Linked DNA regions of Pelodiscus sinensis. The protein of the gene in region 1 purifies or fractionates together with the protein of each later gene. This does not show direct contact. Links are inferred from orthologs where the notes say so. Each region holds a gene or a part of one and is shown in the gene's direction. Other genes may lie near its edges.

The links.
Region 2: the proteins of CDK5RAP2 (region 1) and PCNT purify together in Homo sapiens (co-immunoprecipitation; 4 studies listed by BioGRID and IntAct, with this or other methods). This does not show direct contact. The link is inferred for Pelodiscus sinensis from reciprocal best matches to the Homo sapiens genes CDK5RAP2 and PCNT.

The regions. Positions count from the first base shown.
Region 1 is NC_134732.1:9,782,545-9,798,447, reverse strand, and holds the start of CDK5RAP2 (CDK5 regulatory subunit-associated protein 2), read left to right. Parts: upstream 1-8,731; 5' UTR 8,732-9,057; coding exon 9,058-9,110; intron 9,111-9,765; coding exon 9,766-9,833; intron 9,834-13,927; coding exon 13,928-13,995; intron 13,996-15,903. UniProt on the Homo sapiens protein: Potential regulator of CDK5 activity via its interaction with CDK5R1. Negative regulator of centriole disengagement (licensing) which maintains centriole engagement and cohesion. Involved in regulation of mitotic spindle orientation.
Region 2 is NC_134717.1:65,469,301-65,485,169, reverse strand, and holds the start of PCNT (pericentrin), read left to right. Parts: upstream 1-7,612; 5' UTR 7,613-7,787; coding exon 7,788-7,838; intron 7,839-8,116; exon of another isoform or gene 8,117-8,131; coding exon of another isoform or gene 8,132-8,176; intron 8,177-11,037; coding exon 11,038-11,244; intron 11,245-15,869. Other genes in the region: C7H21orf58 (uncharacterized protein C21orf58 homolog), read right to left, coding at 5,470-5,731. UniProt on the Homo sapiens protein: Integral component of the filamentous matrix of the centrosome involved in the initial establishment of organized microtubule arrays in both mitosis and meiosis. Plays a role, together with DISC1, in the microtubule network formation.

The DNA.
Region 1 (15,903 bases):
AAAATAAACATAGCCCATCAGACATAATTTGAGGCAGGATGGACAGTCTTTAACATTGTACTAGCATTCTGGGGCAGTTGACCTCTGAGATACAGTATCTTCAGTCCAGATATTAAATGTAGTGTAAGCTTTATTTTATTTATATATAAATGTGTGTGGCAAACAGTAGGTACAAATTCTTCTAAATAAAAACCTAAGATTGAAGCCTAAAGTGAAGTTCTAAAATTAGCTTCCAAGGGACTCTGCTTAATAATGTTTCCAATTCAAATGGGAAAACATAGGCCTAAATCATTAAAATTACAGTCACTCCCAATTAAAATCTTATCAGTCTTACAACACATCCAAATAAAATGTCTCCAAATGCATTTCTAAAAAAGCTGTGTATGATTTGAATACGTCAGAATTTATACATAAGAATGTTATTTAAAATAAATAAAATGTATATAATTTGTATCTAAGCCACCTGGATTTTGCTTTTGTTTTATGTTTAAACAATAATCTAAAGGTTGCTTCCAAGTTCCATATGAAGTCAATGGGCAAGATTTTCCATTGACCTCAATAGAGTTGGATTGAGCTCTAAGGGTTTGAAAGTGACCTCATACCAGTAACTCTATTCCGGACAATGTCAATGAAGTTATACCTACTCTATATAAGAGAAAGCAACATATGGCCAACACAAGTCACACTGTCACATTAGTGTTTTTAAAGCCCTATGAAAACTTTTGTCTATTTTTATTTATATTCTTGTTAACACATATTACTTTTACGGCTCACTAGCTTGTCAGTCAATGAGTCTCTACTCACAGTAGAAGTGTTCTTACTGCTACATAGTTATTTTGGCATAAAAGTATGCAATCAAGTAAAAGTGAAATTAGAGAAAGCCATAGTATCGTGGGTGTTTTCTACATCTTCTTTGGGAATTTCAAAGGAATTCTGTGTGGATCAGGTATCTCTGAGACCTGCTTCTGAGGAGCTGATGATTTAGAAAGGCTGGTTATATCTGCCAAAAAACAAAGAAACCAACAACCGAAAAACAAAAACAAACAAACAAAAGCCAAAAAAAACTTTGCTTCTGGAATCTTCACAGTTCTTTCTCACTTGTCATTGCTAGGAAGGTAACTCCCACTTGCAAAGGAGAAGTAAATACCAAATAATAAGACTGTCATTGCAACTGAATGTTATTTATGACTCTCTTTGTCCCTAAATCAGCAAAGCACTTAAGTAATGGGGATAAATTAATGGTAATTAAGAATGTGCAGGTACTTTACTGAACTGGAGCTTTAAAAATTAAGGCATTGAGTATCTTCTTCTCAGCACTTCTATTGGTTTCATTTACTCCTGATAATACTAGTGAAAGAATTTAATCTTATAAGTCAATGGGAATTTTGCTCGACTTAAATGGGAGCAGGATCAGGCTATTAGTGAGAGGATCAGGTTCATTATGGAGTCAGTTGAGAACACTGCAGCAAATACTGTTCGTCTGAGGAAAGCCCAGGTAAAGAAGCTAAGCATGAGCACAATTATTCTACCACTCATAGAAAACCCTGGGGCTATATTAAGGTGTGCACCTCTTGTATGCTTCCTTATGAGCTTGTGGAACCACATAATTACATATGCAGAGATGGGGGTCTCCATTGTTTCCCTCCATTTTGTACTTCATTTCTGAAATGGCAAAGATCTCAGCCACAGCAGGATGTATGACAGGCTTTTCCAATACAACTTGTTGGTCTGAGGATTTACTGTAATCTTCTAAAACATGCTTTTATTTAAGATAAAACTAAACACTTAATCTGATTAACAGAAGGCAAGTTAATTTCTTCAAAATGCTGCATAATTTTCCTTTGCAAATTTGATGCTGCTGCTGCAGATTTTGTAAAATAGACATTACAGTAACCCCATGAAAATTGCACATAACTCCAGTTAATGATCCATTTGATTGTTTTTATCTTTTCTGTTTGATCAGAAAGAGTTATCCTTTTGCAAGTTGAATGTACATTTACCACCTCAAGCTTGGCAGCAGATTTAATTTGAACAGTGGTGGTTCATGAGGATGGCTACACAGCATGTGTCTGCACAAACATATGGGAGTCCCTTTTGGACAGGATATATGCTGCACAGGCCTATATCATTTAAAAGGTGCTTTGCCTAAAGATTGTTTCTTATTGTCATTGATTTAATGCCATGTCATATAAGAAAGAGAAAGTTCCTCATTTAAACTCAATAATTAATTTATTGTGCTAAGTAGCCAGACTGTCACACACTTAGAGAAGAGCTCTCTAACACCCATCCTAAAGCTAAATAAGAAATTTCAAATGAGCTTGGCATGCTGCCATATGGTAGACTTGTTTTTTAAACTGAATACAGACTAGTGGTGATTGAAAACATCACAGCATAGGACCCATGGCTACAAGGAGAAGAGCACACTGAACTCATGTCAAAGGCAACAGGAGTTTAAAACCCTCAGTACTTCACAAGATCAGATCCCAAATGTATAGCACCAAAGATTTTCTGTTGCACCCAATTAAGAGATAAAGCCCTCAGCTCTGCTGGTCATTGCCTAACATTTCCCATTCAGTTTTGTCATGCACTGTATCCTAGGGATGTTAGATAGTGGATAACAGAATAGTCGACTAACTGCATGAAATCTGAAGAGGTTAGTCAGCTATTCTGTACTTCTCCAGGAGCAGGGCTAGTAGCCAGTGCAATCTTCCCCCACACCCACGGAGTCCCCTGCCACCCTGCACTGCTGCCTCTGTATCAGAGACAGCAGCACAGGGTGCCAGGCGGGAGCCAGTCCACAAGAGGAGTCAATTTGAAAACTAGCTCCCCTCGCAGACTGGCTACCTGCAGCCCTGCACTGTGGCCTCTGATATAGAGGCAGCACTGTGGGGTGGCAGCATCCCCTGTCCATGGGGATCCGAGCTCTCTGTGGACAGAGGCTGCTGGGGAAAGTGAGGGGCAGCCTTCCCTGTCCCCCCTGCGCTGCTCACACCTCTGCCTCCCCTGCCCTCCACTCCCAGGGTATGTCTACACTGCAAAGTTAATTTGAAATAACAGCCGTTATTTTGAATGAACTTTAATAGCATCTATACATGCAAACTGCTATTTCAAATTTAATTCGAAATAGCGGAGCCCTTAATTCGATGAGATGGTAGATTTCAGGATCCTGACCAAAGGAAGAAAAGAAAGTACCGTATATTCCGGCGTACAAGACGACCTCTGAAGTTAAAAAACATCCCCCAAAAATCGGGGGTCGTCTTGTACGCCGGATGCCCCGCCGCCGGAGCCCCTCCGCGGCTTTGAAAGCCTCGGGGGAAGCCGGCGGCGGGGCATCCCAGGCGCGCATGGGCTGCCCGCCCGCCGGAGCCCCTCCGCGGCTTTGAAAGCCTCGGGGGAAGCCGGCGGAGGGGCTCCGGCGGGCGGGCAGCCCATGCGCGCCTGGGATGCCCCCCCGCCGGCTTCCCCCGAGGCTTTCAAGGCCGCGGAGGGGCTCCGGCGGGCGGGCAGCCCATGCGCGCCTGGGATGCCCCGCCGCCGGCTTCCCCCGAGGCTTTCAAAGGTTAAGCTGCATATGGCCTCTGGTCGGCTCCTTCAGCACTTGTACCAAGAAATTATCCCCAACGTTCTCCAAAAACTTCCAGATTGATGGGTCAGTCCCTCTTAGGAGGGAGTCCCCGACCACCACCACTCGCCTTCTTCTTTTGGGTGTGGTGGTCATGGAACCCCCATTCCTAGGACTATGCATCCCATGCCTTCCAGTAGAAGTGGTTTCCTTCCGATTTCTTCCTTGTGAGGTCTTCCAAAGCATTCACCATCGCAGAACCCATGAAGAGCAATGAAAGCATTTACTTACCTCTGTAGGAATGGGGGATTCTTGTGCTGGCCTTTTTTTCCTTCGAGAAGTTACATGCTGCCAGTTCTCTTCCTTGTCCTGTACTGGTGTCTTTTCTACACTCAAACTGCTTGTGAGTGAGGAAGCATTGCCTCCCAGAGGCAGCAGGGCTCTTGTGTGAATTTCCCAGGTTACTGAGTGGGGGCTCGAGCCAGTACTGTGTTGTGGCGACGAGGAGTCCTGTGGCACTTTATAGACTAACTGAAGTGTAGGAGCATAAGCTTTCGTGGGCAAAGACCCACTTCGTCAGATGCATCCTACACTCCAGTTAGTCTATAAGGTGCCACAGGACTCCTCGTCGCTTTTGCAGATTCAGACTTACACGGCTACCCCTCTGAGAGGGAACCCCAGATATTTAACCCAGCCATAGCTGCAGCTGACACTACGTGGCAAAAGGGTTACATTAACATCTTTTTATTGAAATGCTTTCTTTTGTCTGCAGCAGTAGAGTATAAGAGCAATTGTAGGATCTGATCCTGCCAACACTTACTTACGTAAATTTATTAATTCAGATAATCCTGTTGAAGTGAGCAGGGTAAATTTACTCATATCAGTAAATGACTTCAGGATTAGGCCCCTTTCTTATGGCTCCCAATATGCAAATAATTACATGAGTGCTTAAAGTTACATATGTCAATAATTCTGCTGACTTCAGGTGGCACACTTATGTGAGAGAAGTTAAAAACATATATATGTATATGTTTGCAAGATCAGATGCCATTACAGGGAATACAGCTTTGAACTTGTTGGAAATCTCCAGCTACAGTAACAAAATATAAAAAACTACTAATGGATATGTTGCTTAGAATAGGCATTCTCAAACTTCATTGCACTGCAACCCCCTTGTGACAACAAAAATTATTGCACAACCCTAAAGGAGCGGGGAGTCTAAGCTTGCCCAAGCCCCACCACTGTGGGCTAGGTCAAAGTCCAAGCTGAAGCACATTGCCCTGGGCAGGGGTGGGAAGAGGGCAAAGCCATCGAGGGCTGAAGCCACTGAGCTTTGTCTTTGGCCCCCACTGATGAGAATTTGGCTTTGAACCTCAGCAACAGACTCACTTTGAAGTCCTGACCCATAGTTTGAAAACTGCTAGCTTAAAGACAGGACAAAGTAGAGAGAAAGGATGGTTTTGGAATTAGAATGGTAGTCAGGGACTTGGGAGATTTACACATTCAGGGTATGTCTACACTACATGGCTCCATCGACGGAGCCATGTAGATTTGTTTATTGGGCAAAGGGAAATGAAGTGGCGATTTAAATTTACCGCCGCGGTAAACCTCATCCCACAAGGAATAACGGAGTGGTCGACAAAGGGCTTTGATGTCGACCGCGGAGCATCCAGACTAGTGCGCTGAGCCGACAAACAGCTGATCAGCTGTTTGTCGGTTCAGCGTGGCAGCCATTTAAATTTAAATGAAGCGGCGATTATTTAAATTGCCGCTTCATTTCCCTTTGCCTACAACCCTAATTTACATGGCTCTGTCGATGGAGCCATGTAGTCTAGACACAGCCTCAGTTCCCAATTCTGCCTTTGGCTTCCTATATAACATTAAATATCTCTAATAATAGCACCTCCCTACCTCATAGGTGTTGTGAGGAAAATTATATTGATTATGGGGCACTCACATACTATGGTGATCTGGACCATATCACTGACTGTGGGAATGTGAGATCATTTCTGTTATTGTACAATTTGTGTGTACGTGCGTCAGTTTAATGTTCTAAAGCAGGGCTACTCAACACATGGCCTATGGCCCGTTTCTTTGTAGGCCGTGGTACAGTTTGGGTTTACGCGGGGCTCAATGCATGGCCCGCGGGTGGGATCCTTTGAACATGGCCTTCACTGGGAATACGCTCTTCAATGGCGAGGCATCTCCCAGGTGGGTGAGCAATGAAAGATGCAAGTGGATGGGCTGGCTGCAACAGGTGGGTTCAGAGTGTCGGCATTTCTAGCTCCCAGAGAGGAGGTGCCAGGAGTGCCAGGGCATTGTGTGAAATAAGCTATTTGCATATATATTTGCATGTATATGCAACCACACTTAAGTTGTGGCCCTCGGCATGTGCTGTTCTAAAGCAAAGTCAGCATGCTGCTGTGCTCACCAAAGGAATAAATTGATTGTATTTGCACAGGGAGATGCGACACCTCCTAAATTGGAAATATTAAATATAGTTAGAAAAAAACAATTTTGAGACAATAGCTTATATAAGCCAATATAAATCTGCTTCTATGATTAAATGTAAAAATAATGTTGAAATACAGAATTCCATGTGGATGATCACTTTCATTTTTTTTTTTTTTTAAAAGATAAAATAATACAGTTGAAGAAATACATCACATTTCTGGAGCAGATCATATTGAAAATTGGCTCTTCTGCCTTTCAATTGTATTCCGGTAGCTATCGAGGTACAAGAAAGTAGCAATAATAGAAATCACATACACACAATGAGAAAAGGGAACACTACTACTGCTACAAAACACAGGCTCATGATGCAATGCATAGTTAAGTAAATCATTTTGGCAAAACACCAGTTCTTCTGAAGTATTTTCTGACTATCTTTCATCTCTTTACTGGGCAAGAAAAACAATTTTAGAAAAGTTATTTTACAGTATTTTCAGGTTGAATTATTATGAAAGATAGGATTCTTGCTGTTTGGATCCATGTAGCTATGAAAGTAACAAAGAGCATTGAAACTATTGCTATAATTCCTTCATGGGATTGTCGTAACTATACACGGTCACATGATTTTTTGCCATACTGATAGTTAGTCTACCATCCCATGTATGGATATAGAGAGTCTTTTAGCTGGAACTATAGCACTGTGCTTTATACTTGCTTATTAAGTATGTTACACAAAGTATCTGTCTATCCATCACACAAGAACCATAAGAATGATTAAAGGATTAGAAACCACCTTATAGTGATAGGCTCAAGGAGCTTAATCTACAGAGTTTAACAAAGAAAAAGCTAAGGCCTAGCTTGATCAGTTTATATAAATACTTACATGGCGAACAAAATTTTCATAACATGTTCTTCAACCTAGCAGACAAATGTATATCATGATACAGTGCCTGAAAACATGTTTTACCTGGATTGTCTGCTAGGTAATTGACCGGAATAATTTACCTGGGAGTGTGGTGGATTCTCCATCACTGGCTCTGTGATGGATAAGAGGAGTGCTGGCTAGCACCCGGTGACTAAAGGGTTAAACTCAGGTAGCTAGCAAGGGTGTTGGCAGGGAGTGAGAAGAACCAATGGGCATACAGTAATGAAATCTGAATTGTATACGATAACTTGCCTGCTTTCTTTGTGTGGGAGAGTTAAACCAGGATTAGAGAGACACAGAATGATTTAAATCCAGGGAGGACTACCATGCCTCCAAGGAATTTGGGGCATGGAAGTGGACTGAACCAAGAGAGATCATGAGAAAAAGTGAATCTAGTTATGATCAGGGTATTTTTCTTTATTTTGTGGTTTGGTTTGAACTACTCTGTTTGAATCTATGCCTCCCCTTCCCCATTTACCATCTAAGAATTGTTCCCAGAGATTTTCCATTTTGTTTTCCTTGGTTGCACTGTAACATCTAGCAACCAAGTGTGCGTTAGCCTTTGTTGTGCTAATAAAAATCACTTTTTTAAGGTGATGATTTGATTCTTTTGTCCTGGAAAGTAACAAGGGGCTGTGTGTGTGTATTTGCTTGCCTGAGACTGGGTGGTCAGCTACCAGAGACTGCAGCTTGTTTTTCTCTTTTCTTTTTTCAAGCTCTTTTGGGGTGAAAGAGCTTGGGATGCCCCATGTGGGAGAATTCAAGTGTTCCCCCCTGGTTTTAGGGATAAGTCACTTGATGGTGGGAGCTACCTCCCAAACTCAGTGAATCTGTGACTCTGGGGGAGTTTTTGTAACCAGAGCCTGCAGAGGCAAGGTATATTTAAAGTCTTCGCTGGCCCCCACCTTCTGCACTCAGAGTGCCAGAATGGGGAACTGTCCTGACAGGCTCTTTAAAAACAACATTAAATTAGTGCAAATCTTTTAGAAAAACAACCAAAGAGGATCTAATTGAGGGAAGTCCTATGTGTTATATGAGAGATTAGTCTGCACCACACTGGTCCATTTAGAGCTGATAAACGTATGTATCTATAGCAGGCCCGGCCTGTGGAGCGTGGGCCTGCCCCCGGGGTGCTCGGCGCATGCGCAGGCCAGTCATGGCCGCTGGCGCGCAACCTGGGGCCTGCCCCTGGGGCGTACAGCGCATGCGCTGCCCAGCCTGGCTGGACCACACGATTAGTCGATAAGAGGAGGCTCGCTCTAGGACTGCTGCACCTCTGCATTTTAAATGTGCTGAGCGCCCCACTTACACTGCAGAGTCGCAATGCTCCCAGACCGGTGCGAGCCGGGACTGCTTGATCCGAGTTCAGCAGCCCCTGTTCACAGTGGCCAGGGCTGGCTGCGGCAAGCCACCCCGCGGACCGGGGCTGCTACCAGAGCAGCCTCTCCTACCTTTCCCCAGCTGGCTCTGAGAGGCAGCAGTGGGGCGGCAGGAGGCACTGCAGACAGGGTGCTGCGGGGAACCGTTGTTTAAGTCTGCTCTCCCCAGCACCAGCCCCTGTTCCCTCCCTTGACGGAGGCAGCAGGGAAGAAGCACTCGTGGGCTGCTGCTCTCACCCCGGAACTGACCGCATCATACTGAGACTAGAGGACTCAGAGCGTGTGTCACACTGCGGGATGCTAACCAGTATCCCTCGCAGCGCAACTGCCCTGACTAAAGATGGCGCCTGGTCACACCCTCCTTCGCTCTTGTATTAAATATGGCGGCTGCGCACGCTGCCCGTTTTCATGCCCTCACTCAAGATGGCTACTGCCCACATTCGCTACCTTCTTTGTTCTTAGAGGTGAAAGCTGCTGGCCTTGGTTGCCGCAAAAGTTTGCCCTTAGTCAAGCTGGCGTATGCAGCATTTGCCCTCAGCAAAGATGGCGGCGCCCCATTAGCTTTCTATCGTGCCCTCAGCACGTACCATTGCAGAGCGGCCTAAGTGGCTTCACAGTCGGATATACAAGATGGCGGAAGCGGTTGCGGCCGTTTGAATTCCAACGAAGCCGCCAAACTCGGACAATAACAACCAGAGCCGCCACCGCCGCCGGAGGGTCCCTGCGGGGGTCGCACCGCCATGGACTCGCTGCCGGGGGAGGACCTCACCCTGCCCGTGGAGTTTAGCGGCAGGTAGGAGCGGGGTGGGACGGGGCAGGCAGCCGGGACCGTTAGGGCGTCCGGCGTGGGCGAGGCTGTTTGAGATCCCCCCCCCACTGGGGTCTGGCCTGCGGAGCGGAGTGGCGCTCGGCATCACCCCCACGCGTTCCTCCAAGCCAGACCGACTGTGCATGTGTGGAAATCCGAGTACCCCTTTCCCCCCGGCGAGACCGGGGGCGCTCGGGATTCCCCCTCCCCACACACTCGGGTCTGGTCACCTCTTGCTGGAGCTGTCTGCTGGTGATTGAAGCCCCCAGAGTTTGGCTGTGGCTTGGGCCTCACACACAGGGGCAGGAGTACTGCAGCTTGGGGTTCATACCCCCACCTCCCATGTGGCTGTTTGGCTCTTAGTATCTTTTCTAATATTGGGGAAGGGGTGCGAAGCTGTTACCTGGATCCCTTCCCTCCCTTTCGGTAGCTTCAGGGGTTAGCGGAGTTAGTCTGTACAGGATAAATTTAAAAAACAACAAATGGTCTGGTAGCACTTTATAGATTAACAAAACACGTTTTGGTGTTTGCCGTGTATTGTGTGTTGGGGAGAGACACTGGAAGTACTCAGGAAGGAGGGACTTTTTGTGGGGCTTCTAAACTTTCCATCACTGAAATGCCTCCTGTGTCTCACTCTTAGCGTCAGTATTTCCAGACTGCCAGATGTCTCCAGAGAAGAACCTTGTATTGGCGTAGGAGGTAATGGAGGTAAGGGCAGCTAATGTGATGGCACACAAGAAGTGGTCAAATGAACGCTTGAAATGTTCATTTCAGGAGAGTGCAAAGTTAGAAGATAAACATCTTATTTGCAAGAGCTTGTCTAGAGAACAGCCAAACTTGTTCTTACAGCACTGTAGTCTAATAAACACATTTCTGTAATGTTCCTGTGTTAAAAACTTATTGTTTCAAACGATTAACCCACAGTATTTGCTAGGCAAATATTGCAGCACTGGGAATCTGAAAGTGAAAATAACTACATAGTGAAACTGAATAAATTACCCAGCTGGTAGAAGTGTCAAAAGTTAATAAAGATCATAAATAGCGAAAAGTAAGTTCAGTTCATAAGAATGGCCTTACTGGGTGAGACCAAAGGTCCATCCAGCCCAGTACCCTGTCTGCTGACAGTGGCCAATGCCAGGTGCTCCAGAGGGAGTGAACTGAACAGGTAATGCTCAAGCAATCTCTCTCTTGACATCCATCTCCACCCTCTGACAAACAGAGGCTAGGGACACCATTCCTTACCCATCCCGGCTAATAGCCATTAATGGACTTAACCTCCATGAATTTATCTAGTTCTCTTTTAAACCCTGTTATAATCCTAGCCTTCACACTTAACAGTTCACTTTTAATAGATGTTAGTAACAGGCAAATAAACTTCTTTATTTGCAACATATAATTTTTATAAGTATAATGTCCCTTTAAGAAAACCAACAAACCGTATAAACTGAAGCTAGTGGTACAGGTTGAACCGCTTTAGTCCAGCATCCTAGAGCTTTGACCTGTTCCGAAGCAGAGAATTTGCCGAACCATGGGTGTTGAGTATTGTCTAGGGCAGGGGTGGCCAACCACTTAGAGACAAAGAGCCAAAATAGCGGTGAATAGAATACAAAGAGCCACGTATTGTATATTTATTTTTATATATTTATATAGAGAAAGATCGATATAGTACACAACATGTAGTAATAAAAACAACATTACAAGACATTTCAGACAAAAACCAATACAAAAGTCTCTAGTAATTTAAATTCATAGATCTTCAGAGGACTTGACAAGGAAAACACATCAAATAAAAAAAAACCTTTAAAAATACAGTAAATTCTCTCTCACAAAAAAGCATTCCCACTATGTATTTGAAATTTAACACTACTGCCGTATTATGTCCTGTGATTTTTTTTTTTTAAATCAAACTGCACTGAGAAGTAATTTAGCACAATTTGAAGTGCCTGTCCCAGACTGCAAATATGAGAGGTTCAAAAACATCTCAGAATAATTGCTTCAGCCTGGCAAACAATAGCCTTTGAATATTCTTTAAAGAAACATTGTAAATCAGGTACATGCTGATTCTTTTTTTGCCCTAGAATTTAAATAGGACATCTGTGTTGGCTGCCTTATTCTGCATCCACGGAGACTTTGAGCTTAAGGTGCTTCGTGCCCCCCCCCCCCCACAATGCCCCTCCCTCCCCAGGGCCAGGCATTCCCAGTTCCCCCTTCCCTCCCCTGCTCTAACCCAATGCTCCCCAGAGCCAGGCATTCCCATCCCCCAGCTCTAACCCAATGCCTTCCTTCTCCTCCAGAGCCAGCCCCCTCCCCGCTCTAAACCAATCCTCCTCCCCTCTCCTAGAGCCAAGCACCGCCCCCCCAGCTCTAACCCAATCCCTCTCCTTTCCCCCAGAGCCAGGCACCTCCCCCCCCCCCCACTGTAACCCAATCCCCCTGACCCAGAGCCAGGCACCTCTTTCTCCCCCCCCCCCCCCCCCGGCTCTAACCTAATGCCTAGGTCCTGGATCCGCCGCCACGCACTTCTCCCTCCAGGCGCTGGGACTCTGTGTGCTGAGTGGCTGCCCGTGAGCAAGCCCTGGGACGCCATGCGCAGAGCTGCCGGCCTGAATAGTCAGGGCGCGTGGCTCAGAAGCAGCAGGAGCCACATCTTTTTTAAATGAAAGAGACCACCCCGGGTCTAGGAGCATTACCACCACTTCCATTGCTTACTGGGCTCTTAGAAGACATTTAGGGGTAAAATCGAGCTAAATAACAGCACAGAGCACTGAAAGCCTGGACTCATGGCGAAAAACAAACTTTATGGGACTGCAGGAGACTTGGCCACATCTGTGGTAGGTGGACATCCAGCTAACTAAAATGATGCTGGACCAGGGATGTTGCTGTACCAGAGAGTGCCAATTTGTATTAAGCCAAGATACCAACATATTAAGTTTCTATTGTCATTAAGATCCTGATCCTGCAAGACTTTGGTCCTGTTCTTCTTGTACTAATTTCAGAAACAATGATGGTAGTTTAGTCCTTTATTTTAGAGAGAGCACGTGAAAGTCTCTCACCAGACTTTTCCTGTCAAATATTGTTGAACTGTATTGAGCAGGGATAGTAATTCAGCATGTTTTACTTTCTGGAGTAGGAGTAGTAGCTGAATATTCATTTTACTACATGTTTGGGAGAGAATACAACATGAAACATTTATTTTGAAATATCAAATGAAAACTACTTATACATAATTATAGCAATTTTCTCTGTTCTGATAACCAGTTTCCTGGCCTTGTATTTTGAATGTTATTCTGTCCAGTATGCTTTTGTGTATTTAGTTGAAGCTAAGTCTACAACATGAGTGGCAATAATTTTTGACCGGGTGCTACTTCAGAAATTTTTGAAGTTGCCTTAGGCCACCCCAGAAGGGACGAGGCCAGGATGGTTCTGTGTTCTGCATGAAGTCTCTTGCTCCCTTCTCCTGCCCTGCAAGGGAGCGCCATGCTCAGAGTCAGCTGGCGGTTGATTTTAAGTTCTGAGCCCCTTGCAGGGCAGGAGGAGATGTCACACGCTCCTCCTGCTCCCAAGCCCTGATTGGCCTGGGAGTGTGCAAAGTCTCCTCCCGCTCTGCCCCTGTCCTGCAAGGAGCATGCGGTGCTTAGAAGTGCCGCACCCCTTGCAGGATGGGAGGAGACTTTGCGCACTTCCCTCCCCTCCGTCCCTCCAGGTCCTGATTGGCCTGGGGGTGCAGATAGTAGCAGGGACTCCACGGTCAGATCAACTCTCTTGGCGGGCCGCATCTGGCCTGCAGGAGGCCTTTTTGCCCTTCCCTGGTCTACAATTCTGCTGTGCAATAATGAAAACAACTTACATATGCTAACTGGAAGATATTTTTTTATGAAAGCAAGCAATTATAAGAAATAAACCTACATTGCTGTATGGCAGTGATGCTGTTACTGTAGATGTTCTATGTATCTCATCATGTTAGTCAAATCTTCAACATTTGAAGACTTCTGGTTGGCATTCCTGGGAATATTGAAAGGCTCTGTAGTGTGTATGGAATTACTTGATAACTTTGGAAATATTTACTTCAATAATTTCTTTTAATTGTGGGAACTTTCTTTAAACAGTGGGAACTTGGTACTTCAAACTTTTTTCCCTTAATCCTTCAATTCTAGCTTTTCCATATATGGATATGTAGATATATGATGTCACATTTTGTATATAATCTGCAATTTTTAAGCCTCCTGTATAGAATCTCTTCCCCCCCGCCCTTCCCTTTTTAAAGTTTGCGAATGTTCATAGCTGTCTTAATACCACATTTGTGTTCCTTATTAAATTTTGGCTATTGTAGAATGAACACGAGAGAGAAACACTTTGATTATTTGTAATCATATACATAGAGAAGTAGCTAATATTTCTTTGCTACCTCTGCTATGGATGCAAGCCTTGATCTTGAGGGGCACAGCGCTGCGCAGCTATGAGCACCTGCCTTGTTTTTGTCATAACTCAGTCCATAATTTAAAAAGGGCACATGAAAATACACTTGTTTGATGCTTTTAATGCATTCAGATGGTTAAAATAACCTTTTTCCCCTAATAACATTGTAATTTTGGATCCTCTGATATTTGGATGTTTGGTTCCTCCTAAGCTGCGCTGTAGCACAGCTTCCCAGGTGATTAGTCAGCCCTGCCCAGTCAGGCTCAGGGCTCCCTGTAGGAGCTGACCGATTGTGTGAGGCTGATTAATCATCTGTGAAGCTGCTGCCACTGTGCAACTTAGAGGGAATGCTGGTTTGGATCTGATTTGTCTTGTCCGTTGTCTAGTGTTTCTGGATGTGGCGGAAGATATAGTTTCACCAACCAGAGCTCGGACCATGAAGGATTATGAAAATGTAAGTAAATTTATCATGTAAAATTTAGTGACAAAAATCAATTGCTAAATCCTATAGAGTATGCTACAGAATTGACTACTGAAAAGGTAGAGGTACAATAACTTCCTGGAGACCCATAAATGCATTTATTTTGATTGAGTTAAGTCCTTAAATGGTGTCAGTTAGCATAGCTCTATTGAAGTCCCTGATGAACACCATCTGAGAATCTGCTCATCAGTTTACTACCCATTTTTTAACTGTAACTGTTGAGATTGAAGCAGATCCTGTTATTAGGGCTAGAAAATGTCCCATCTTGGTTGCAGTCTCAACATGGCTTCATGGTCAAACTCCTCTTAAAGAATAGTTCTAGTGTAATTCTTCCCTAGGGATGTGAATGTGTACCTGTATACATAGTTAACCAGTGAGTCCAGGCTTCTCAGTTAACGTACAGAGTTACACACAGGAACCCCTTCCCCCTGTGCTGGCTGCAGTGCATGAGGAGCTGGCCTGCCTCTCTACTCCTCCCCCTCGCTACCTCCCCGGTGTGTAAATGTGTAACCACCGAAACTTCCAGCAGTTACACATTCACAAACTCATTTTAATGTCCCTGAGCTTTACAACGCAATATATGGCATTTTTCTGACCTCATAATTTTACTTATGAGGATCATAGAATCATAGAGCTGGAAGAGACCTCAGGAGGTTGTCAAGTCCAGCCCCCTACCCAAGGGAGGACCAATCTCAACTAAATCAACCAAGCCAGGACTTTGTCAAGCCGAGACTTAAAAACATCTAGGGATGAAGATTCCACCACCTTCCTAGGGAACCCATTCCAGTAACTTTACCACCCTCCTAGTGAAATAGTTTTTCCTAATATCCAACATAGACCTCTCCCACTGTAACTTGAGACCATTGTTCCTTGTTCTGCCCTCCCTCACTACTGTGAACAGCGTCTCTCCATCCTCTTTGGAACCTTCCTTCATGAAATTGAAGGCTGCTGTCAAATCCCCCCTCACTCTTATCTTCTGAAGACTCAATGAGCCCAAATCCTTCAGCCTCTCCTCATAGGTCATGCGTTCCAGCTCCCTACTCATTTTGGTTACCCTCCGCTGGACCCTTTCCAATCCTTTCTATAGTGGGGGGTCCAGAACTGGACAAAATACTCCAGATGTGGCCTCACCAGAGCCGAATAAAGAGGAATAATCACACCTCTGGATATAATGGCAATGCTCCTTTTAATGTTACCTAATATGCCATTAGCCTTCTTGGCTACAAGGACACGCTGTTGACTCATATCCAGCTTCTCATCCACTGTAATCCACAGGTCCTTTTCTGCAGAACTGCTACTTAGCCATTTGTAAGCCTGTAACAATACTTGGGATTCTTCCGTCCCAAGTGCAGGACTCTACACTTGTCCTTGTTGAACCTCATCAGATTTCTTTTGGCCCAATCCTCTAATCCAGGGGTTCCCAAACTTTTTGACACGGGGACCAGTAAATCCATTCACAAACTTTTGGATTTCATTTGCATATTCATTAATCAAATGATGAATATTCAAATAAGTTGTTTCTGGTCCTCCCAAATCTCCCAGTGCCAGCTTTAGCAAAGCTTTTGATATGGTCACCCACAATACAGGCAGTCCCCGGGTTATGTACAAGATAGGGACTGTAGGTTTGTTCTTAAGTTGAATCTGTATGTAAGTCGGAACTGGCGTCCAGATTCAGACACTGCTGAAACTGACCGCCAGTTCTGACTTACATAGAGAATCAACTTAAGAACCCCAGGCATCCCCAAGTCAGCTGCTGCTGAAACTAATCAGCAGCTGATTCCAGGAAGCCCGGGGCAGAGCAACTCTGCCTCGGGCTTCCTGTAGTCAGCGCTGGTCAGTTTCAGCAGAAGCTGACTTGGGGACGCCTGGGGCAGAGCAGCT
Region 2 (15,869 bases), on another chromosome or scaffold:
TAACGGCAGCAAGGGGCGGGGAGAAGACGAGTGACTAGTCGAGTTGGTACTCGACTATCCGATAAGCATTTGCTTATCAGATAGTCGATTAGTCACTTATATCCCTATATCAGACTATTATATTCTGAAGCCACACATGTAGTTTTCCTGTCCACCCCGGGAGTAAAAAGTATTGCTGTTATGCTCTAGGGCTGCCTCTTGTCCCTGGTATTGCCATATTACAGTTAGGATTCGGACAAACAGGGCTATCGAGTTGAGGATGTCTTCTACCATTAAAACCTATAGTTGCTTGCAATGTCTTCTACCATTAAAACCTATAGTTGCTTGCAAACTGAGGGTATTTGTTGGATGGAGGGACTATGTATTAATGTACAGGCAGTCCCCGGGTTACGTACAAGATAGGGACTGTAGGTTTGTTCTTAAGTTGAATCTGTATGTAAGTCGGAACTGGTGTCAGCCGCTGCTGAAACTGATCAGTTTCAACCGCGGCTGAATCTGGATGCCAGTTCTGTGTAGCCCAGCTTTGCTCGGGTGTCCCTGGTCTGCTGGGGGGGTCCAGTGGCTTTGCTGGACCCCCCCAGCAGACCAGGGGGACAGGAGCAAAGCCGCCCAGGTGGTGGGAGTCCCGCTGCCTGGGCGGCTTTGCTCTGGGGCAAACGAGCAAAGCCGCCCAGGCAGCGGGACTCCCGCCACCTGGGCGGCTTTGCTCGGGTGTCCCTGGTCTGCTGGGGGGGGGGGGTCCAGTGGCTTTGCTGGACTCCCCCAGCAGACCAGGGAGACCGGGAGAAGCTTTTCTCGCCCCGGAGGACATGGGTGGTGACCCGCCGCCCATGAGCTCTGGGGCGAGAAAAGCCCCGTTCGTAAGTGCAGATCCGACATAAGTCAGGGACTGCCTGTACTGTTGGCTGGGTGTAGCGGTATTCTCACATACAAATCCCGCACCCTATCCAGACTAGATTACCTTCACTGTATGCTGATTTTCATGTGAATCTTTGCATCCAGTCACAGAAAAGTTACAAAAGTACCATGATAACATTCTCAGCACTACCAAAAGAGCTAGATTTTGCATTAACTACCATAAAACTGTGAAGGGAATGGGTTGGGGCCTACCCAGAATATGTTAAATGAGCACCAATTTAGTTTAAAGTGTAAAAGCAAGGCAGCATTATTGAGATACAGGAGACGTAAGCTAAAAAAACCCCAAAATTTGATTGGATGACCAACAATAATCCTGTTTTTAGGGAAGTCAAGTAACACAGACTGCAATATGCAACAAAGTGCTAATAACCCCAAATGAAGCAAACAAAAATTTTGAAAGGGCAGAATAAAACAACAAAAAACTAATGTCAGCATAGTCAAGCAAGTAAAAAAAAAAAAAAATACCAAAAACAAAATATATAAGGTTGAACAAAACAGACCAAAAGCGGATGTGTTGTGAACCCAAAAGCCAGGTCTGATCAACCAAGTGACTCCCTCCCAGGCACTAAATCTCACTGCCAAAAACCCAAACAAAATAAAAACCAACCCACATGAAACCTGCTAGTTTAAATTAATTTATCTTTTGTGTTTTCTTTACAGCAAATGCATTAATTACAGCGAAGGATATTGTTCCAGTGGTTTGTCATATGGAGTACAGACAGTCCCTGGGTTACATGGATCCGACTTACATCGGATCCCTACTTACAAATGGGGTGAGGCAACCCCGCACTAGCTGCTTCCCCCCAGCAGACCAGGGAGACGCGAAGCTAGCACCCCCCCCCCAGCAGACCAGGGAGACGCGAAGCGGCTTTTCTCAGCAGACACCTCAGCTCGAGAATAAAGGAGTGAGGGAAGTGAGGTGTGGGAGAATAAAACTGAGCTCTGGAGAAATGTTTGGCTAGAGTTTCCCCTACAATATGTACCAGTTCCGACTTACATACAAATTCAACTTAAGAACAAACCTACAGTCCCTATCTTGTACGTAACCCAGGGACTGCCTGTAGTTGTTTAGGTGGTTGCTTGGACTCTCAAACACATTAGTGTTATGTTGAAGTGTTCACATGTCAACAGTCACAAAAGAGAATAGAAAAATAAATACATACTTCATACCAAGCTTTTATGAGGGGTAAAAAACAGAAGCTGCAATATACTCTCTTGATTCATTTGAGGGTCACTGATTAAATATATTCTAGCCTGGAAATAATGGCATAAAATTTGTTCAGATTGATCCAGGAGATCCCTTACGCCAGGAAAATCACAAAGGTGCAACCAAGCAGAATTTGGCCCTATGTGTACATATGCATCTGACAGAAGTGAGCGGCAGACCAGGAGATATTATGCTCTAATTAACTTGTTAGGCTATAAAGTGCCACAGGATTCCTTGTTTTTGATTAAACAGACTAACGTGGTGCTCTCTCTCTGAAATGTGAATACAGTAGTTTCCCTGTCCGTCCAATACACTAGCAATATGCAGTTTGTTCAGCTCTAAGTCAAACAACATCTAGGAAAGAAAGCACAGATTATGGAATTATTGGGCTAACACCCACCCACCCCAAGGTAATGGGTGACACTAAACACAAGTATGTAGAGAGTGCCCCTTTATTCCCATCCCTACTTCTGCTGTTCTACTTGGCACAATACCAACCACTGTGTCTTTACTCATATGATGGTTCCCACTGACTTCAGTTAGACTACCCATGTACCGAAGAGCTTTGCCAAATCTGGATCATAATGCTATCCATATCACTATCTCAGTCTTTGTACAAGAGATGTCAGACACTTCGCCAAAGGATCAATGCCCACAAAACAGATATCAGACAGGATCACAAAGAAAAAACAGTTTCTTGCCACTTCAACCAGAAAGGACATTGTCTCAACGACTTGATTACCTGCATCCTGCTTCAAAGACCTTTTAAGACTGCACTTCAAAGAGAATCCTCTGAACTGTCATTCATGCTTAAATTCGACACTCTACAAGCAAACTGGAATAAAGACGCTAATTATCTTACCCATTACAAAGATAGATTCCCCAATTATCACCTCTAATATCATTAGCTCACAGACATTTACCTCCCTCCCTTCCCCCCCATTCCCCTTCTGTTCTGAAATTTGATTTGTCCTTTTCATGTGTGTTTGCTTTTTTTATTGTATCCTTTGGTATATATGGTTGTGACAATTTTCTTCCACTATTTGATCTGAGGAAGTGGGTCTGGCCCATGAAAGCTCATCACCTATTAAACCATCTTGTTAGTCTTTAAAGTGCTACACAGTCCTGTTTTTTGTTTTTACTGATCTCCCACATTAATGTGCTCTTAGCAACAAGCCCTTTGTTTCCTGAAGAACACACAGTAGAGGAATAACACTTCATGAAGAAGCCAAATAAAAGAGAAGCCACACTAGTAATAGCAGCACTAACAAAAATATACCACTATGATACACTTGCTGTTTCATTTAATCAAAATGTACATTTTCTCCCAAGCTAATTTGGCCATTAAATTATGAGATCAAAATCAGTGATAACTGAAGTTTGTATATGTCTTTATCATCTGATTTTTTTAAAAATGGGATGAGTTATGTCAATTTATTATTTACTATTCAGATTAGAATAGTGCCTTAAGGTCCCAACTGAAGTCAGAGCCCCACTGTGTCTGGTGCTGTACAAACCCATGAGAGACAATCCCTGCCACAAAGAGAGTACAGCCAAATGCCCAGATTATGCAGAGATTTATGCATGCACTTCATTTTCTGCCCTGTAAATAACCCATATAAGTCAAGGGAAATTTTCACATTTTAAAAATTATACACTTGCATAAACCTTGGCAGAAGTGGGATCTAAATATTTTAAACAAATAGTAAGAGAGGCAGAGAGAAAAGTAACTTGTCCAAGGCCACATTGCAGGGGACTGGAAAAGCTGGGAGAAGAACATAACTTACAGTTACCAGATCTGTGCGTTATGCACAGCAGTGCTCCTCAACCATCTGTGTGTTTTGAGAGACAAATGGGAAATAATGAGCTGGGAAGCAACATTTTATTTGCTTTAGATCAGGGGTCTCCAAACTTTTCAGCCCGAGGGCCGCATTAACTATCAAACAGCAGTTCGGGGGTCGACTACACACTTGAGGTCCAAATAAAAAACAATCAAAACATGGATGTTGTTTTTAATTATTTATTTAATATTATTTTATTCAGTTATTATTTAATAACACATTGATACACTACACATGAACACCTGTATTAGTGTGAATGGTGAAATTGTTTCCTGGATGCCAAAATAGCAGACATTTCTGGCTTTAGATTTGTTGTCCCTAACATCAACAGTGACCTGAGATTATCATTGGACAAGTTTGTTCTCAAATTGTTCTTCACATATTTCATTCTTGAAAATGTTTGTTCACACAGGTATGTAGTTCCAAAGATTGAAAGGTACCTTGATGCAAAAGTTTTGACATTAGGAAAGTCTTCCTTGGGCAAAAACTGGTAAAAACCCACCAGTCCTATTTTGAACTTTACCCGAAACAATTTTTAAAAATTCTTATGATTTCTTAAGTTAAACTTACCTGAATATAGTGTGCAAATATATCCACTTATGGTAGAGAGATTGTTGCTTTTAATGTTTCCTCTTCAGAATATTCGCCTGCGAATCCGTTTCTCCCGGAAGGGGGGGGGGGGCTTTTCCCCCTGCTCTCCCCTTCCTCTGCACGCTGTCCTCCCCTCCTGCTTGCCACCGCTCACTCCTTCCCCCCCCCCGGGCGGAAGGGGTCACCTTTTTAAAGTTCCCGCCGGGGTTCACGTTCCCCCGCACGTCGCCGGGCGGGCATTACCACCACCGCCCATCCTGCCCCCTGATTGGCCGGCTGCCCTGTCAGTCTGGGCGGGGGAACGCTGCCCGTGCTAACCCCCGCCCCCTGCGCCGTTTGCCGCCGCGCGGCCGCTTGTCAGCGGAGCGGCCTGCTTCTCCTGCCCCGGCGCGGCCTGAGTACACGCCGCACACCCCTGACAGGGTCCCCCCCCCGCGGCAAGAAGGGCCCGTTCGGCGGCGCCCCAGGGACGGGCGGGGGTCGCCTCGTCACACCGGCACGTGGAAGAAGGCGGGGCCAGACAAAAAGGTCTCCACGGGCCGGATGAGAGGGCCTCGCGGGCCGCATCCGGCCCACGGGCCGTAGTTTGGAGACCCCTGCTTTAGATCATGGGTGGGCAATAATTTTGATGGGGGAACATGCCAAGATTGTGTTAAGTGGTTGAGGGCAGCATTCTTATGGAGGAGGTGAGGTGTCTGTAAGGTGAGGGTGGGTGCAAAAAAAGGGAGCTTGGGGTAGGAGTTTGGGGTGCAGGAGAACATCTGGGGTCCAAGGGACACTGGGTGAAGGAGTGAATTGTGGTCTGGGGTAGAGGATTGGGGTGCCGTGTCTGGGAAGAGGCAGTGGCTTGGAACACTGGGGGGCAGGAGCGGCTGAGGTACCAGTGGCAGGCTCTGGCCTGGAGGAACTTACCTAAGGAGCTCTTGGACAGAAGGCCTGCAAGATCTCTAGGCAGACTCCCTGCCTGCCGCAGCCCCAGGAACTTCCCAATAAGAGCTGAAAAATTGTGCTGGGAGTAGGGCAGCGCCCAAAGCATTTCCCTGCCCCCTGTTACCCAGAGCAGAGCCAGAGGGAGCAGCCGGCTGTGTAAAGCGGTATGGAGCTGCCCTGTGCCTAAGGGTCTGAGTGGAGAGGCCTGGAGGCCAGATCTGGCCCAGGGCCGCATCCTACCCATCCTTGTTTTACAATTTAAACTGTAATACAACTTCAGTGTCCAGCAGTCCTCCCTAGAAGCCCTGCCCCAGCAGAGGAAACATCCATAGAGAGCGGCTGCCTTCCAGCCAAGCCCCCCCTTGGCTAGGGAACGGCTCCCCTCGCTAGTGACCGGCCTCCCCTTGGCTAGGGAACGGCTCCCCTCGCTAGCGACTGGCCCCCCGGCCCCTCCCGGGCCAGGGAACGGCTCCCCTCGTTAGCGACCGGCCTCCCCCCCGGGCTAGGGAACGACTCCCCTCGTTAGCAACCGGCCTCCCCCCCCCGGCTAGGGAACGGCTCCCCTGGCTAGTGCCCCCCCCCCGGGCTAGGGAACGGCTCCCCTGGCTAGTGCCCCCCCCCCGGGCTAGGGAACGGCTCCCCTGGCTAGTGCCCCCCCCCGGGCTAGGGAACGGCTCCCCTGGCTAGTGCCCCCCCCCGGGCTAGGGAACGGCTCCCCTGGCTAGTGCCCCCCCCCCCGGGCTAGGGAACGGCTCCCCTGGCTAGTGCCCCCCCCCCCGGGCTAGGGAACGGCTCCCCTGGCTAGTGCCCCCCCCTCCGGGCTAGGGAACGGCTCCCCTGGCTAGTGCCCCCCCCTCCGGGCTAGGGAACGGCTCCCCTGGCTAGTGCCCCCCCCTCCGGGCTAGGGAACGGCTCCCCTGGCTAGTGCCCCCCCCCTCCGGGCTAGGGAACGGCTCCCCTGGCTAGTGCCCCCCCCTCCGGGCTAGGGAACGGCTCCCCTGGCTAGTGCCCCCCCCTCCGGGCTAGGGAACGGCTCCCCTGGCTAGTGCCCCCCCCCCGGGCTAGGGAACGGCTCCCCTGGCTAGTGCCCCCCCCCGGGCTAGGGAACGGCTCCCCTGGCTAGTGCCCCCCCCCCCGGGCTAGGGAACGGCTCCCCTGGCTAGTGCCCCCCCCCGGGCTAGGGAACGGCTCCCCTGGCTAGTGCCCCCCCCCCCGGGCTAGGGAACGGCTCCCCTCGCTAGTGCCCCCCCCCCGGGCTAGGGAACGGCTCCCCTCGCTAGTGCCCCCCCCTGGGCTAGGGAACGGCTCCCCTCGCTAGTGCCCCCCCCCCCGGGCTAGGGAACGGCTCCCCTGGCTAGTGCCCCCCCCCCGGGCTAGGGAACGGCTCCCCTGGCTAGTGCCCCCCCCCGGGCTAGGGAACGGCTCCCCTGGCTAGTGCCCCCCCCCGGCTAGGGAGCTGAGGGATCTCAAACCGAGGGGCCCTGAGGCACCAGGGCAGCGCGAGCCCAGGCGCCGGGCTGCTGGCCCTCAGGGAGAGGGCGGGGCTCCCAGGCAGGGCACAGCAGGCTCCCGCCTCGGGCGCGCGGGCGGACGGAGCGTGTCGCACACGGCCCCGGGAAGTGCCCGTGGGGTGTCCCTAGGCCTCGGGGTCCCTGCGGGGGGGCCATGCAGCTCGGGGCCCCACAGGGCGGAGCCACAGAGCTAAGAACCCCGCCCAGTGGGGGCGGGGCCGGAGGGGAACCCGCAGCGCTAAGAGCCCCGCGGGATTCCGTTAGCTCCGCGCTTTCCCGCCCAGCCCTGGCGGCCTCACGCAGCCCACACGCGCTCTCCGCCCCGCCCCCACGGGGCGCCTGACGGCTCCTGAATGGCCAGCTCGGGCTTCCCGGGGTTAAGGCCTCCCACTCGTGATTGGCCAAGTTAGCTTTGGGGGCGGGCTCTGTCTCGCATCCTTTTGAAGGGGCCACTCAAGCGGCCGTAGAGCCGCGGCGGCTGCCGCTGTTTCATTGGCTCTGCCAGCCCGCCTGTCATTCCTAACAGGCCGTTAGTGCGAATGGGCACGGAGAGAGTCCAGCACGTGACCGCCCCCCAGCGCCCCGCCCCCCAAAGACCTCCCCCGTCCCCTCAGGGACCCCTCCGGCCCGCGCCGTGTCTGCAGCGCGGAGCCCGCCCCGCGCTCACAGCTCTGCTGGGCCGGCCCGGCCGAGTCCCCTCCCCGGCGTGGGCCTGGCGCCACTGCGAGCCCGGCGGCGGGCGTGAGGCGCCTCCCCCGCCCCGCACCGGGAGCCGCGGCCCCTCCAGCCATGGACAAGGAGGAGGAGCGGCGCAGGAAGCTGGAGGCCGGGCGCGCGAGGGTAATGACGGGGCTCGGGCGCTGGGGCCCGGCGCCTGCGCCCCCAGGGACACGCTTGGCCGCCGCAGCTGGGTCCCGAGCGCGCAGAGCCGCGCGCACCCCAGGCCAGGCTGCGGCCCTGAGCCGCGGGCAGCCGCCGTCCCGCCCCTGCCGAGAGCTGGCCCGTGCCGGGGCTGCTGGGCAGGCGGCGCACCCCTTGGCCCCGGCCCCGGCTTGGCTTGCGCTTCCCCGTGCGTAGCGGGAGGTGGGTGCCCAGGGAGTTGCATTCTCCGTGTACAGATCAGTGGAAGGTGGATGTGTGCAAATCTTGTGCTGAGTGCAGTGCAGCTACAGAAATGGGTAATGTTAATAAAAGTCAGGGGGGGGGGGGTTCTCCTCCTGAATTGCTGTCGGGGGTATCTGAAACGTTTGGCTGCCTGCACGTCATGCCTGATTCAGGAATAGTGGGAAACATTCTACTTTGGACATCAGTGTAAAAAGTTACGCTCGGGGCTGAGAGGGATGTTTCCTGACATCAGCTATACGTTCGTTTGATTCACTTAAAAAGGCAGGGTTTAAAAGGTTCCAGTGTAAGACAGAAGTTGTGTAGGCAGAGAAGTAAAGGTCTTAATTTGGTGGCTTTGGAGAGTGCTCAAGGATGGGAGATCATAGTTCCTGATAGTGGTATGACCCCACAATAAGAGTTACATTTTCCGCTGCTTAAATAACTGATAAACTTGAGAGGCATATCTGGGTCAACATAAGGATGATTCTTTTTTAATACAGACTTAATATACTTGGAAGTAGATTGATACTTGAGAGGTTCAAGTGATAATTATATGTAGTGGAAAGACAATAAGTGTTTACTCATATGTACAGGGTTTAGTTGAATGGATCCTCCCACATGTGTAGAAATGTACAGTACCAGGGCCCAAGAATGTTAGCTTTTCAGTGCAGTTACGGTTTTCTATGTCTTGTTCAGTCTTGAGCACCTTTGTTAGGTACTAATCCTAACAAATAAATGGCACTATTTGGAAAAAAAATCAAATATGCTTTACATTGAACCTGATCATATTCGTAAGTGTTCATATGAGCAGTCACTGTAACATTTCTGTTGAAGGTTTCTTTTATTTTTGTGGACTATTTTTTTTTTTTTTTTGCCTCCAAATAGAAATATATGTTGAAATAGTAACAGAAGCCAATGTGGTCCAGCACATAGGACAGTAGACTGGGAAACTAGGTGTTGGTTGGCAGGCCATCTACAGCATAGCCTGAAACTAGTCTTAAATTACTAAAATTGATGCAGTGTGATTTGGTATCCGAGTCTGTAGCTCTTTAGCCAGTCAGAATAAATCAGAAAATTCTGATTTTACAGTTTTTTGTATTTCAGAGTCAGAGAGATATGGTGGAGGAGGTTATATCTTTTATTGGACAAGCTTCTGGTGATGAAAGGACTAGCTTTCAGGTTACACAGAGCTCTTTCAGAATAAGGAATTTTGACAAAGTTTATATTTAATGACTTGTTTACATCACTGATGAAAAATGATAGTTATCATTAGTCTCTCAGACCTAAACAATTCTGGGCTTCTCTCTCCCACACTTCAGCTACTGGATTAATCAACAATGCTGAAACTATTGTAGGCATTCAGTGCAAAATCATTAGGATTTTGTGTTACAATTTAATTGTGAACAATGGTGTTTGCATCTCAATTGCATTTAGTTTTAGGGCTGTATTTTGTGCCAAATCAGGAAGACGAGGCATTTGTTGACCTTCCCTTTTAACTAAGAAATATAGGGGCTAGAAACCTTAAGATTTCACTTTAAAAAAAATTCTCCCCAATCTTAACATATCAAGTGGTCTGCATAAACACTTCTGAAGTGGTGAGGTGCTTGACCTTTCTGCTTTAGCAAAGGGGCATAGTCTTAAGTATCTTAAACTGGAGATGTTAAAAATTTATTAACCATGTAACTGATATAACTGTTATATGGTTAACTTCCACTGCCGGAGCTCCCGGCCCTGTGTGCCTACTGTGGCTGTCAGGGTTCCTGGGGCTGCCACTACTCTTGGGGCTGCGGGGACTCCCAGCAGCTTTTATAAACAGTGTAACCGGTACTGGTAACTGATAAGTGTCAGCTTATCCATTAATCAGTTACCCGATTACACTCTTATTAATGCATTGTCTAGTATAGAACCGATACATGACTAGCTGACAGCAGCTGTGCAAACTCTCATAACACAAGTTGCTGTAGATATGCAAATGTAAGGAATTAATTCATTTCAGAAAATTATAAAGGTAAATAAGCTTCATAAAACCAGTGGAATTCAAAGGGCAGTCTTGCTTCTTTCTATATTGCTTTACTGCAGCAAAACCAAACTATTACAGGTGTTAATTTTTCATATAGATTGCATGCAGTAGTTCTACATACTATGATATTTTACTTGTAGATTTGGTAACCTTGATTTTTCCTATTGGAAGAATGTCTGGTCTTACGCTGTGAGTGAGATATTGGTTGCAATTGCTGCTTATACACAGTGCTAGAGTGTAAAATACTCTAATCATCTTTGAGCTGTTTAAAGTACTGAGGAGATATGGGTAGTAGATGTCTATGGGTGACATTATTTGCAAGTCCCTAGGGCTTCATAGGACTGTGTTAGTTTGTTAAAGTAGAACATCTGATTCTTCAACAGAAGAAATTAAAATGACCTAGCTTAATTAAATTTCTATTTATGTATCTCAGTCTGCTTTCAGGCAGGGAAGTTTTGCTATATATTCTCTTGTTGGAAGGTGAAAGGCAAGAAGACGCTCACCTTTGTCAATTCTAGTCTTTATATTTGCTGCGCTAAGAAATTTTAAGATTATATTTCTATAGAACTCTGAGAGACTTCAAGGCTGTCTCATTTTAATTTGTTCGTGTATATGGACAACACTCAGTCTCTTAATAATTTATATGGTTTTAATTCTGGATTGTTGTTATAACCTGCCAAATATCAGGAAAATATTAGTAAAAAGTTGACTCTTGTGTTTTTGTCTAATTGTACTGCTGCTTAGATACTGCACATTCAGTTTCTAAGTAGGAAGAATAAAGCAGGTTCTCTGTGGACGTGCATGTTTTGTCAAATTAAAAATTTGTTTATCATTCATGAGTGCATTAATCTTGTGGTGTTGTTACCTTTTCCTTGCTTATCTCTCCATTTATCTCTTTCAATCTTTTATTCACAGTTTGCTCACTTCAGACAGCGAAAAACAAAAAGTGACAACACGCAGTCGCAGAAAAAGGCGGCGAAGAGGAAGGGTGCGTCTGACCACCCACATGATGCTGTAAAGGAAGAGTGCATGATAATGGCCCAGGATTCTGATGTTCTTACAGACCTTGATATAAGTCTGAAGAATAAGACTGAAGAGACAAAGACACAATTTGAGACTAAGGTAAGTCTTCCTATTCACCATGTTTAATCTAAATCTTTCTGCAACTAACAGATTGTTCTCTGAGCTCCCATATATGGCCAAGTCTACGATGAGGGAGAAAATTAATGCAAGATACACATCTCCAGCTATGTGAATTGTGTAGCTGAAGTCAATGTTCCTTGTAACCATTTTCTGAGGCAGCCCCACAGCAGGAGGTTGACTGGAGAAACGCTCCTGTCGACTTCCTTTACTCCTCATGACAGCTAGGAGTGCCTCTCTTGACAGGAGTACTGCTATCCATGGGTACCCTCAACATTTAATTTAGCAGGTCTTTACTAGACACACTAAATCGAACCCCAGAAAATCAGTCATCAGAGTGTAGATCCTCCAGTAAGTGAAGACAAGGCCAATGTGGTTGCCATGCATGATGTGTCTGTGCCCTCTATACAGAAGCTGTGAGGCTTTTCTCTAGCAGTGACCACAAGGACCTGGACCCTGCATGCTCTTGCACTTCCTTCACTGAAGACCATAAAAGGCAGACCAATCCCTGCCACCAGCCAGTTCCTGCTGTTTACTTTGACAGAGAACTGAAAGTTCTTAATGTCCCTACATCTTATGTAGATAGTTTGATAATAGTCACTTAGATTTTAGTCTTTGTTTTGTTGCACATTGGTTTACGAGAAAAGTAGTTTTGTAGGTAGTAAGTAGCTGTACTATTGTGTTTCAGATACTCACTGGGCATCATAGCTTGTCCATTGTGTGGAAGAGTGATTGTGCTGGAAAATGGACATGTGTGCTTATATTGTTACAGAGAGCCATGTGACTTCTAAATGTAATATTTGTATGATATTAAAAAACACACAGACATTTAGAGTCTGGGCTCAAAGTTCTCCTCCTGGAGAAATCAGAGAGCAGCTTGTAACTTTGAGTTTCTAATATGGCCCCTTGCTGCTCCAGCCATCCCCGGAATGTTCTGAAGGAAAGAGAAATCCCTCACAGCCATCAAGAGGCCAAGAGGCTTCTCAAATCTGACAGGAGCTTGCACATCAGAAGAAGATCGCTGTGGAATAGTCAGAGATCCCTCTTGCCTCTGAGCAAGAGACATTCTATTGGTACTGAACCGAGTCTCTGGTATTTCATAAGAAGCCTGAGAAGCAAGCACCAAAGTGCTTTGGTGACATAGAGGCTACATTCAGTGATGCTGGCTGTTGAATTGTTTTCCAGTCCAGAGAGCTTCTTTTGCACTTGCTTTACTTTGGATGACACACAGTTGTTACTCCTCTCCCCTTCAAAATGCTTGGTATTGGTATCTGATATCCCAAGGAATCAACATTAGACATCAGAGTCTCACTCAGTTCTCAAGGCAATACCTGGGTCATCCTTTTAACAGTCTTGGAGAACATGATTATACCAGAGCATAAATCTTTTCTTTGCTGCTTTTTCTATCTTAGTTTCCCTAAAATTTTAAATGCAACAGGAGCCCAGGCTTCCTTTATGAAAATCTAATTATGGCCTGCTGCTATTGATTGTTCCACTTCCTGAGTACTCTCTATTAGAGTACATTGTCATCTTCATTAGCTGAATCTTGCTTGGAGCCTTCCCTAATATCTGCTTAAGTCTCATGAGAACTTTTCTTCTTGGGATACAGTGTTAGTTCAGTTCATGAGACTGTATTACATGTGTGATGTCAGTACCTTGGGATGCTGTGTCTTAACATGGTTAATATCCATATGGGTGTTATATTCCAATTCAACAATTTTTCCTTTCCACTTCAGGATTTTCCTTTGCCTTCTCTTCCCCAAAGTCTATGGTACTGAGTACACAGAAACCTCTTTCTTAAGAAGAGGAGGAGCAGTTTCAGGATGAATCTTTATTAGCTAGACAATTTTCATCTTCTGAAAACAGTGTGGTATTTTGTTTCTAGGGCAGTAGATAACTTATTGGCTTTTCAAGAACTGTTAGAGAAGATGGCAGAAAACTTAGAAATTCCCCTGGAAATATTGCAGCAGAGGTCATAAACTTTTTGATAGCCTTCTACCTGAAATAGGGTAGGCTTATACTAATGGAGTATTCTTGAGCCAGTTAACAAACTGAGGGCAATCCAAGTGGGCTGATTGGAAATATCTTATGAGAGACTTGGTATCATATATATATATAGTAGCCCAATGTGTGACACTCTATAACGGTGTAACATTTTCTGTTGGCTCTGTAACATCCTTTGCCTCCTGCTGTAGAGCTCAGCTGACTTCTGCGCCGCTCAGCCGGGCCGACGTGCAGGAGCAAGTGGTGCAAATGGCCGTTTAGGCTCCGTGGTCCCCATGCAGCATGTGTGCTGCTTGCTCCCGCGCTGCAGCCCGGCTGAGTGGCGCAGAAGTCAGCTGAGCGCCACGGTGGGAGGTGAAGGGGAGCTATGCAGTGACGTACACGGCCAGGGGCGGGGCCTGGATGAGCGTGCATCCCCGATGGAGGCAGAGGGGAGGGCAGAGGAGACAGAGAAGAGAGGAGAATGGAGGAGACAGAGAGGAGGCGGAGGAGAGCTGAGAGAGAGGGGAGGCAGGAGGAGGAGGAGGGGAGAGAGAGAGACGGAGCAAGAGACCGGAGGCTCAGGAGAGAGGACCGGGATAGAAAGGGAATAGAAGTCAGCTGAGCGCCACGGCGGGAGGTGAAGGAGGGCAGGGCAGTGATGTACACGGCCAGGGGGCGGGGCCTGGACCAGTGTGCATCCCTGATGGAGACAGAGAGGAGGCGGAGGAGAGCAGAGAGAGCGTGAGAGGCAGGAGGAGGGGGAGAAGAGAAAGAGTCAGAGAGAGAGAGAGGCAGGAGGCGCAAGAGGGCTGAGAGAGAGAGAGAGAGAGAGACAGGGAGGCAGTAGGAGGAGGAAAAAGAGAGAGACGGACGGAGGGAGAGACCAGAGTCTCAGGAGAGAAGACCAAGATAGAAAGGGAATAGGATGTGGAGGAGAGACCCAAAAATCCCATCTTATGACGGGCTATTGGCTAGTTTGAGAATATTTGTATTTCTCTGGCTCTATTGCTACTGGTAGTCACTGTGGTAAATGAAAAATCTAGGCAGGCTTTGAGATCTGCCTGAGCTCAGAAGAGAGAACACCAAGAAAATCCTGGATCTCTCTGGGACAAAGATTTACACCTCTACTTCCCTTCAGGTCAGTCAACATGGTTTGATAAATTGAAAATCTAAGTATGATTACATCCAAGGGGACAAATTGGCAAAATTTTAGGATCATCTTTTAATTCTATAGGAAAAATAATTGACTTCCATTTGCTCTGAAGGAATGTTGATTGGAAAAACATCTCCACTAGAGATGTCAATAGTTAACTAGTAAGCAGTACCAGCCCAGCCAGGCCATAGTGCGGGGGATGAGGTACTCTAACTGTGGATGGGAGGGGTGCTTCAGCCCCTCTGGGCCAGCTAGACTGTGCCCATGGTTAATCAGTTAAATATAATGTTTAACTGGTTAACTGATTAAACAAGACTTTACATCCCTTATCTCCACAATCAGCATTAGACTGCCGCAGATGCGGGGGCATGGTCAATGGCAACTGGAATTGTCATGAGAAGATTGTCTTGGGTCATGACAACTGCACTTGTCTTCCTCTTTGGTAGTACAGTGAAGGCACCCACACTAGGCTCAATTCTCCTTGGCTGTCACCTCTTTTTGGGTAGAGATCTGCTTGACTAGTTTTTTTTTCCAAGCTAAATAATTCCCTGCTTCAACTGTGAATTCCCAGCCAACTAAAATGCTGAAGCAGATTTGCTTTTCTTTCCTCTTCAGCTGCTATAAATAGTGTGATTTTCCACAGTTATAAGTTACTTCATGGCTCTAAGCAAGCGCTGGTTGGAATTAGCGTGATCTCAGGTAAACTTAACATGTAAGTTCTTCTTAATATATATTTTTTGTAGTGTTTTCACCTTAAGAATGTGCTTTTCCACAGTTAGACATTATTTCATAGCTCTAAGCAAGTACATTCTTAAGGTGAAAACACTACAGAAAAATATGTATTAAAAAGAACTTACATGCTATGAAGTTTACCTGAGATCACACTAATTCCAAACAGTTCTGTTGCAGATGATCAGTTCTTCAAACCCAACCAGGGCTAATTCTTCTTGTCAGAAGTTTGTAAGAGTTGTTAGCTCAGAAAAAGCATATTCGTGAATAGGCCATGTTCTTCCAACCTTTCCAGGAACTATTAGGGCTTTCCTTGAACAGAAAAGGTACTGTCTGTTTTTTAGAAGATAAAAAGCAAGCGCTGCAGTAGTTTAAACTTAGTCTTTTTATCCAAAAGTCCTTTCTTTGTCAGTTCTCTAGAGAATCCATTTTGAAACCGTATATCCAAACCTCTCTAGTTATACCTCTTGGGAAATGTGACAATCTGAGTGAATTTGCCTAACCGTTGTCCACTGTTGTTCGTTCCTGAAAGGCTGTGGTCTCCCTTCCCCATGGAATAATATAATCTATGGGCCACACCAGTACATAATCATAATTCAGTAAGGCTTGTTCAGGAAATTACCATATCTATCTCAAAGATTTTGGCTCTCCTTGTTGGGTCTGGCTTGAAAGGTCCAGACTACAATACAAGACCTGCCTTTTGACAAGCAAGATCTTTTTAGTACTAAAATAGATTATA